2 linked regions of the Cricetulus griseus genome follow. Each later gene encodes a partner of the first gene's protein in a complex. Links are inferred from orthologs where the notes say so. Each region holds a gene or a part of one and is shown on either strand. Other genes may lie near its edges.

What was found.
Region 2: the proteins of Zc3hav1 (region 1) and Khnyn are in contact, whole or in part, in a crystal structure (PDB 9BGL), measured with the Homo sapiens proteins. The link is inferred for Cricetulus griseus from reciprocal best matches to the Homo sapiens genes ZC3HAV1 and KHNYN. Residues at the interface, in NP_064504.2 of Homo sapiens: Glu5, Val6, Cys8, Phe9, Lys12, Ile13, Ala16, His17, Glu29, Ile30, Ala31, Leu32, Leu113, Glu115, Phe118, Ser127, Gly128, Leu129, Asn130, Glu133; in NP_001277186.1 of Homo sapiens: His651, Lys652, Asp654, Phe655, Gln658, Arg659, Pro661, Tyr662, Asn677, Phe678.

Annotation. Positions count from the first base shown.
Region 1 is NW_023276806.1:189,850,528-189,854,341, reverse strand, and holds part of Zc3hav1 (zinc finger CCCH-type antiviral protein 1), read right to left. Parts: intron 3,667-3,814; coding exon 3,536-3,666; intron 3,295-3,535; coding exon 3,161-3,294; intron 2,133-3,160; coding exon 1,864-2,132; 3' UTR 1-1,863.
Region 2 is NW_023276807.1:211,083,621-211,087,434, forward strand, and holds part of Khnyn (protein KHNYN), read left to right. Parts: intron 1-1,384; coding exon 1,385-1,492; exon of another isoform or gene 1,493-1,551; intron 1,552-1,646; coding exon 1,647-1,748; intron 1,749-2,210; coding exon 2,211-2,469; 3' UTR 2,470-3,814.

The sequences.
Region 1 (3,814 bases):
CGTCCCTGATTTTTCATGTTCAGCCAATTCCTTTCTTCTAAGCTCACACTGATTCATGGTAAATGTAGGCATCTGACGACTCCATTATGTCTTAGTACTGTAAAGTCGTGCCGGAGTTACGGCCTTGTATTTCCCTCTTAAATTATATTAACTTTTTTTAATTAATGGAGTTATATGGAGAATATATGTCTGAATTGCACTTTAGAGATTAAAACAGATATTGCTTGTGCGGGGAGGGGTGGGAACCCCGACAGAACAGTTCACTGAGACCCACAGAATTGAACTAGGTGCTTCAGAATGGGCTTAGGAACGACTCAGACTGGGGGAAGCTAGGAGCCTGGGAGGAATTCTAGCTTTCTGCTTGTGTATCAGGGAGCAAGTGATACTGTTTATGGGGTTGGGGCAGGTGAATCTTTGGGGGTGAATCACTTTGAAGCAGGCAAATAGAGTGTTCCATTTTGAGCCTGTTGAACTGGAGATGGCAGGTAAATATCCAACTAGAAGTTAGCTTGCCAAGTAGTTAGATGCACTACGTGTCTACAGTATGAAGTCTATGTCAGAGAATGAGTATTCCAAAATAGAAGATACCACGTGAGAAAAAGAAAAGAAAAATCAGTGAATTAAAAAAGAAAAATTGTGGCAATGAATGACAAGAATCCCACTCTAAAAAATTCTCAATATATCATTATTGGAGACTTTCAAAGTAAAGCAACTGATGAAAAATCTGATCAAATGCCCATTAACGATGAACATGTCTGCTGGAAGAAAATGTAACAGGAAAGGAAAAAATATGCCAGGAAACTCTGGCAACTGGGACAGAACGTTGAGAAAGGGAGGTTGGAAGGAAGGACCTGATCTGTACACAGTAAGCAAGGAAAAAAAATTGGTCCGGGCGTCCTAAATGCTCTAAAAAACCCACACCCACTATGCTTTCAAAAAGATGTGGCTAACAGTAAAGGTCTATGTGGGACACTGCTTTCTCTGCACTGCTTTGCGCTCACCAACAAACCAGTCTTGCCTCCTTACAAGGCCCTTCCAACAGGGAAGGCCTTTCCTGGCTTCTGACAACCCTTCTGTCACTGTACACAAATCCCAATAACACTAGGTTTTATCAGTACTGCAACTTAATCTTACTAAAAAAATCCGGATGATTACACAAAAGCCTGCAAGAAGCATCCTCTGTAATCACATGAATTAGAACTCGGATACCAAGAGCCTCAATGGACAATTAACTCCAGTTAGTTGCTTCTGAACTATACTTAGGGGTGCTTATCACTGTATTTCAGAGTCAACTCCATGGAGTCTGTCTTCTAAGTAAATGCAGAGAGACAGAAATGTGTTCCTCAGGTCAGTTTCATCGCATGGTAATATATAGTATTGCGTACTGCTTTTGTGTCTCAATATCGTTTAAATTTAACCTTTAAACTTTTTTCCTCAGCAAGTTTTCTACTCAAAGCTGCAATGTCTTCTTATATGTCCCTATTTCCATAAACATTATTACATGTCTCTCAAATTTCTCAAACTAATATCCAGTTCAAATTAAGCGAAACCGAAACAATGCTACCTACATACACAATAAAAACAAAGAGTAGATGGGAAAGATAAGATTACAGACAATTTAGAAACCAGCCTCACTAGGAATGTAAGACAACGAAATCTTTTCAAAATGCTGGAGTCATGGGGGCAATTTTTACAAAAAAACTGCCTGGCCAGGGACTGTGAATCTGGAGAGAAGTTTGAGAATGGCTGATTTAAGACGTTAGGTAATGTAGCAAGGAAATGCAAAAGTCTAACTACTGTCTGGGGATGGTTTGGTCCTAGAAGTCAACATAAAGGCTTCGACGCGGCAGTATACATCGTTTTCTAACTAATTATGCAGGCTTTCTCTTTCTCTAGCTCCGTGTACTCAATCACATACGCTGGGTAAATCTGCTCTTTCTGGAAGATGACAAAGACCGAGGGATTCAACCTGCTATCCACACAGCTGTCATAGAGGGCGGGAGCGCTACTGTATCTCATATTTCCTTCAATGGAATTTCCAGCCAAGACTCGGGCGACAAGCATAACAATGTTTTTGGCCTCATATGAACAATTCTTGTGGGAATACATGGCTTCTTTTGCAAAGTAATTTCCTAGAAATAACCAGAAAAAGTGGTAAATTGTTATTTATCAATGAGTATAGGTTATAACGGGATACAGAGAAGCAGACATTGGTATGGGTGAAAAACATCTGCCAATAACACTTACTACTATCCCACCACCTGTCTGTGACCAATAGCTCCAGCTGTCATTGCTACCTACCCCCCTCCTTCCTAGTTGTCCCCAGCACCTCAGTTTGTCATTGTTTTATTTTATCTAGGACAAGGTCTCGCTAGGTAGTGCTAGCTGTCCTGGAACTCTCTATGTGAACCAGGCTAAACTCAAACTCAAGCGATCTTCCTGCTTCTGCTTCCCAAGTACGGAGATTAAAAACATGCGCCACCATTCCCAGGTAGTTTGTATTATTTTTCCCTGAGACAGGTCTGGTCCCCGCCACAGAATTCTACACTGTACTATGCTGCCGGGTCTGACTACGTCACATTCCTCAAACACCCACAAAGAGTGAATGATTCCTCAACAAAAAAAAAGGAGGGCAAACCTCTTTAAAAATAAAAATGTGGCTGACATGAGAAGGGGCCTTGCTCTGTAGAACAGGCTGGCCTCAAATTCACAGAGATCTGCCTGCCTCTGTCTCCCCAGTGCTGAGATTAAAGGCGTGCCCCACCAACTCCCGGCCCCTCTTCCCATTCTTAACTGGAATCCATTGGTGACAACAGAAAGATAGTTTGAAAAGCTCTGCAGTCACAGACATAGGACAGGAAGAGCCATCTCCAGTAAGTGCTAACGGCAGACAATACAGCCAGTAGATGGAGCAGTTTACAAGAATGAAGACCTTCAGTTGTCCCCAGAGAGAAACAAGACCGAAGACCTAGAGCCAAGGCCTAACACCCACACCCCCAAGTCAAGAGACCTGTCCTAACACAGGCTGAAGGTAACTTAGCTTCTTTTCTTCCAGGGCCACCAGAGCCCAGACATGCAAGTTTACAAACTAATGCCAAGAACATCTCAACAAAAGCATGTGCGGAGCTGGAATCATGGCTGTCTCTAGCCCAGCACAAACCTTTTCCATATTTGGTCTCCCGACTATCATTTATGATCCAGTCGAAATTATTTCTACAGATATAATCCACATGAACACGGCATGTTGCATGAAACAGCAGCATCTCATTGTCATTCTTCATCATCAGCTTCTTCCTAATATACAGAAATGTGAGATTCAGTACCAAGAAACTGGGCCAGCAAGATGGCTGCCGCTGAGCATGAGAGCCTGGGTTCAATCGTCTGGACCCACGTGGGCAGACCCAATGACTCCAGCAAGTTGCCTTATGACATGCATGCATGCCCCGCACCCTAGTACCAAATAAATGTGAAAATAAAATGAGCCCTCTTAGTATACTTTAACTACACAGTCCCAAACAAGGTCTGATTATGTCACCTTTCAAAAGTTTCCCAGAGGTCTTGATTCCATATCCTCTTTATCGATACAATCTTGAAATATTTCATGGATGCTTTAAAAAGTTCACTTATCGTGGCATATTCCACATCCTGGCTATCAAGCTCTACCAACTGAAAAAAAAAATTAGATGCTTAAATGTAAACTAGGAAATACTAAAAACATGCTATGTTCACACATGTGGCCACCACCCTCCCCCCCCATGCCATGAACACCATTGCTGTTCTCCAGTGAGACAGGCTGGCTTAGTGTGTCCATATC
Region 2 (3,814 bases), on another chromosome or scaffold:
TACTTTTTGAGGTATGGTCTCATGTAGCCAGGTTGGTCTCAGGTTCACTGAGTAACCAAGGATGACCTTGAACTTCTGATTCTCCTATCCCCACCTCCTGAATGCTAGATTACTCATGTATGTTACCCTGCCCAGTCCATATAGTGCTGGAGATTGAAGCTAGGGCCTGGTGCAGCTAGGTAATCACTCTACCAGCTGAGCTAGACCGCCAGCCAGCTCCCAGGAAGCGAGTTCCTTAGTGGCTGTCACTGTAGAGGCTTAGGATACACCCTGAGATGGAGGGAATAAGAAGAAACTGACTGGTTAAGAGTGTAATCTGATCACTGATCTTGGCTGGAATTGAGGCTACATTAGGGAATACTGAGAGAGAAAAGGCTGTAAGAGTGGCATCCGGGTGGATTCTAGAGCCGTTAGCTGCCAGCTTGGCCATGTGGACTTATTCAAGGCCTCTCACTTGGGCTGGATTGGGGTGAAGAGCTCTATGTAGGGGAAGAGCAGGTGAGGATGCAGGAAGATGGTGGGAGGCTGGCAGTAGTATTGTTTTAATGTCTGAATTAGTAAGGCGATTGTTGCCCTGGAAAGAAAGGCAGCATGGAAAGGTCAGAGGAGGAATGCAGGTTTGTGAGCGACTAGCAGGGCGGGAGAAAGTTATAGCTCACTCTTACTGTAAAGGGTTGTGAATGGGATGATGTTGGGAGACTACCTTGGATTCATCACTGTTTCTTCTCTAATCTTGGTGCCTATGTCTAGTTAGTCAGCTGTGGCTGGGTGATAGTGAGGGGAGGAGCTGAATACGGAGGCACAGGCTGTAATCCCAACTACTTGAGAGGCTGAGGCAGGAAGAAGGAGAGTTCAAAGCCTGCTGGGCTACAGAGTGAATTCAAGGCTAGACTGAGTAATTTAGCAAGATGGAGAGTTCAAAGCCTGCTGGGCTACAGAGTGAATTCAAGGCTAGACTGAGTAATTTAGCAAGATCCTGTCTGCAATTCGTTTGTTTGTTTGTTTGAGACAGGGTCTCTCTATGTAGCCCTGGCTGTCCTGGAACTATGTAGACCAGGCTGGCTTAGAACTCAAGAGATTCACCTGTTTCTGCCTCCTGAGTGCTGGGATTAAAGGTGTGCGCCACCATGCCTGCCTATCTCTTAGCCCCACTCCCTTGGTCTGTCTGTCTGTCTACCTACCTACAATTTCAGTGGTAAAGCACTTGCCTACGATGCACGACGGTCTGGGCCCAGTTCCCAAGAAGCTCCCCTCACGCTTCACTTCAGTAAACGAGTTGGGAGACTGACCTCCATCACCAGAATTGGGTCTCAGGCATGGATAGCATATTGTGGGGTTGGTCCTTGGAGAATCCCAGAATGGTGTCTGTGTTTTCTTGAGACAGGTTCATGGTGAAGCTGGCTGAAGAGACGGATGGGATCATTGTCTCCAATGACCAGTTCCGGGATCTGGCGGAGGAGTCTGACAAGTGGATGGCGATCATCAGAGAGCGGTGAGAATAGGGCACCGACTCAGACCTTTCTCTAAAACCAGCTCTTCTCTGACCACTGGGTGAGAACCCTGGGGAAGGGCCTGGAGGTGCCTCAGGGTGACAGCCAGGAGCTCTGGGTGCGGTCATTTCTGTGACTTCCTTTTTCCTCATCCAGCCTGCTGCCCTTCACCTTTGTGGGAAACCTCTTCATGGTCCCAGATGACCCACTGGGGCGAAATGGCCCCACCCTGGATGAGTTCCTGAAGAAGACAGTCAGGTGATGCCCCTTCTCTGCCTGCAGCCTGTTGAGATCTGCTCCTCTGAAGGATTGGAGGTTTGGATGGGAGTGTCGCAGTTTGGGCCAGCTTAGTTCCGCAGCAGTCTCAAGTTTTTGGGACTGGTCTTTAAAGTCCCCTCAGGGAATCCTGACACAGAGATACATTTATTTCTTTATTCTTCTGGTCAGTGTGTTTGATGGAGCTATTTGGGAGATGGTTGCATGTAATGATAGCCAGTTGTACCCCGACACCCTCTGTTGGCTCCTCAAGCAAGTGATGAAACAGGGCTACATCTCATTAGGGTTGTTTTCCTAGTGGGTTGATACTGCCACTCAGTGGCCGGCTTAGTGAACTTCATGAATTCATCTCCTAAAGCTGGAAATTGGTCAGTTTGGCTGAGGCTCCCTGGGGCCTAGTTTTTCTCAGGAGTACTTATCAGTTCTTACTCTGCTTTTCTCCAGGAAACAGGGCTCTGCTAAGACTCCCCAGCCCTCCAGGGGCCCCACAGACCATGGTAATCAGCAGCAGGGGAAGCAGGGGAAGGAAGAGGAGAGAGGCAGTGGTGGTATCCGCAAGACCCGGGAGACAGAGCGGCTCCGGCGCCAGCTGCTGGAGGTGTTTTGGGGTCAGGACCACAAGGTGGACTTCATCCTGCAGCGGGAACCATACTGCCGGGATATTAATCAGCTTTCTGAGGCCCTGCTGAGTCTCAACTTTTGAGCCTTACTTGCCTGCATAGCTGCTGCCCTATCAGACTCAGCTCCCCCAGCCCAGCCCCTTCTTTACAGTCCTCTGCTGCTCAAACTGTGCATGGATCCCTCTAAGGTGGTACTCTGGCTGGAGGAAGCACCAGAGAAGAGATCTGAGTGTGGGAATACTCTTGCCTCTGGGGTACTTGAGGACAGGTCCATAGAGTGACTCAACCCGAGTCAGGACCACTTTAATCAGAGTTAACTGCTCAACCTCGTCTTTGCAGAGGGTTTCTATAGGCTGTAGAGGCTCTTCATGAAGACCGAGACCGTCGGCCTCACCTCCAAGTTAAAATGAGGTGGAGACTAGGGTAAGCTGGAGGTGGCAAAAGGCTGAGGTGAGGAAGAAAGCCCCCCCAGGCTGCTCTTCTGAGTGGCTGTTCAGGCTGAGCTGTCTGGGTTCTGAAGGGCCGTAGTGCTGTGTGGGCTGTTGGAGGGACAGCAGAGACAGACCCACAAGGCAGAGGGGGGTACCGGGCTTCCAGTCTCAGTTGTGCTCTGCTTGTGATCTTGGCAGAGTCGCTTGGCCTTTACTTATGTCTATACATCAGGTATAGAAATAACCTTTGAGAGGAGGAATGAGAACACAGAGGAAGCTTCTGTGAGGAAGTGATCTTGGATCATGTCTCAGGTGTGTCTGCCTGTGTCTGCATAGGCTCCCTAACCAAAAGTTCCCATTCAGAGATGTCCACAGTCCATACCCTCAGTTTTAACACTGGGTTTCCAATAGAACATGCCCTGTAATGGCTGCATCCTTTCCCAGCAACCTTCAAAACAAAATAGTTGTTAGGGTTGATTGTTGCATTACCTAAATACTCTCAGGGTTCCTAGAAGTGGCAGCTGGTCAGCTGCATTCAGCTGTTAGTTTACAGATTCACAAATGTGTCAGAATGGCCCTGGTTAAATCCTCTCTCTAGTGTTGAGTGTATTCACCAAATTCATGAAGCCATGCTTTGCATCGACAATGTTAATGGGATCTATCTAATATTTCTTCTATGAAAGATGTAGGTTGCATTCAGCAAGACACACTACTACTTTGTGTGTATGGTGAAGGAACTATTATCTAGCAAGTGGAAGCTGAATCATCCGAGTTGAAAGATACCTGATTGGTCACAGATAAACTCTACGGACCTATCATGACCAACTGTTTACATCCCAATCCCCACAAGTTATTGTTTTGTATCTGCTTGATTCCTGGCCAGGGAATTTACTCTCTGCAAGGTGGCACATTCCTGACCTGGATGTATAGTTTTTCCCGGAGATTTTCCTCTAGTGCAGCCTAACAAGCTTCTGTTACTATTACTTTCCCCAGGAAT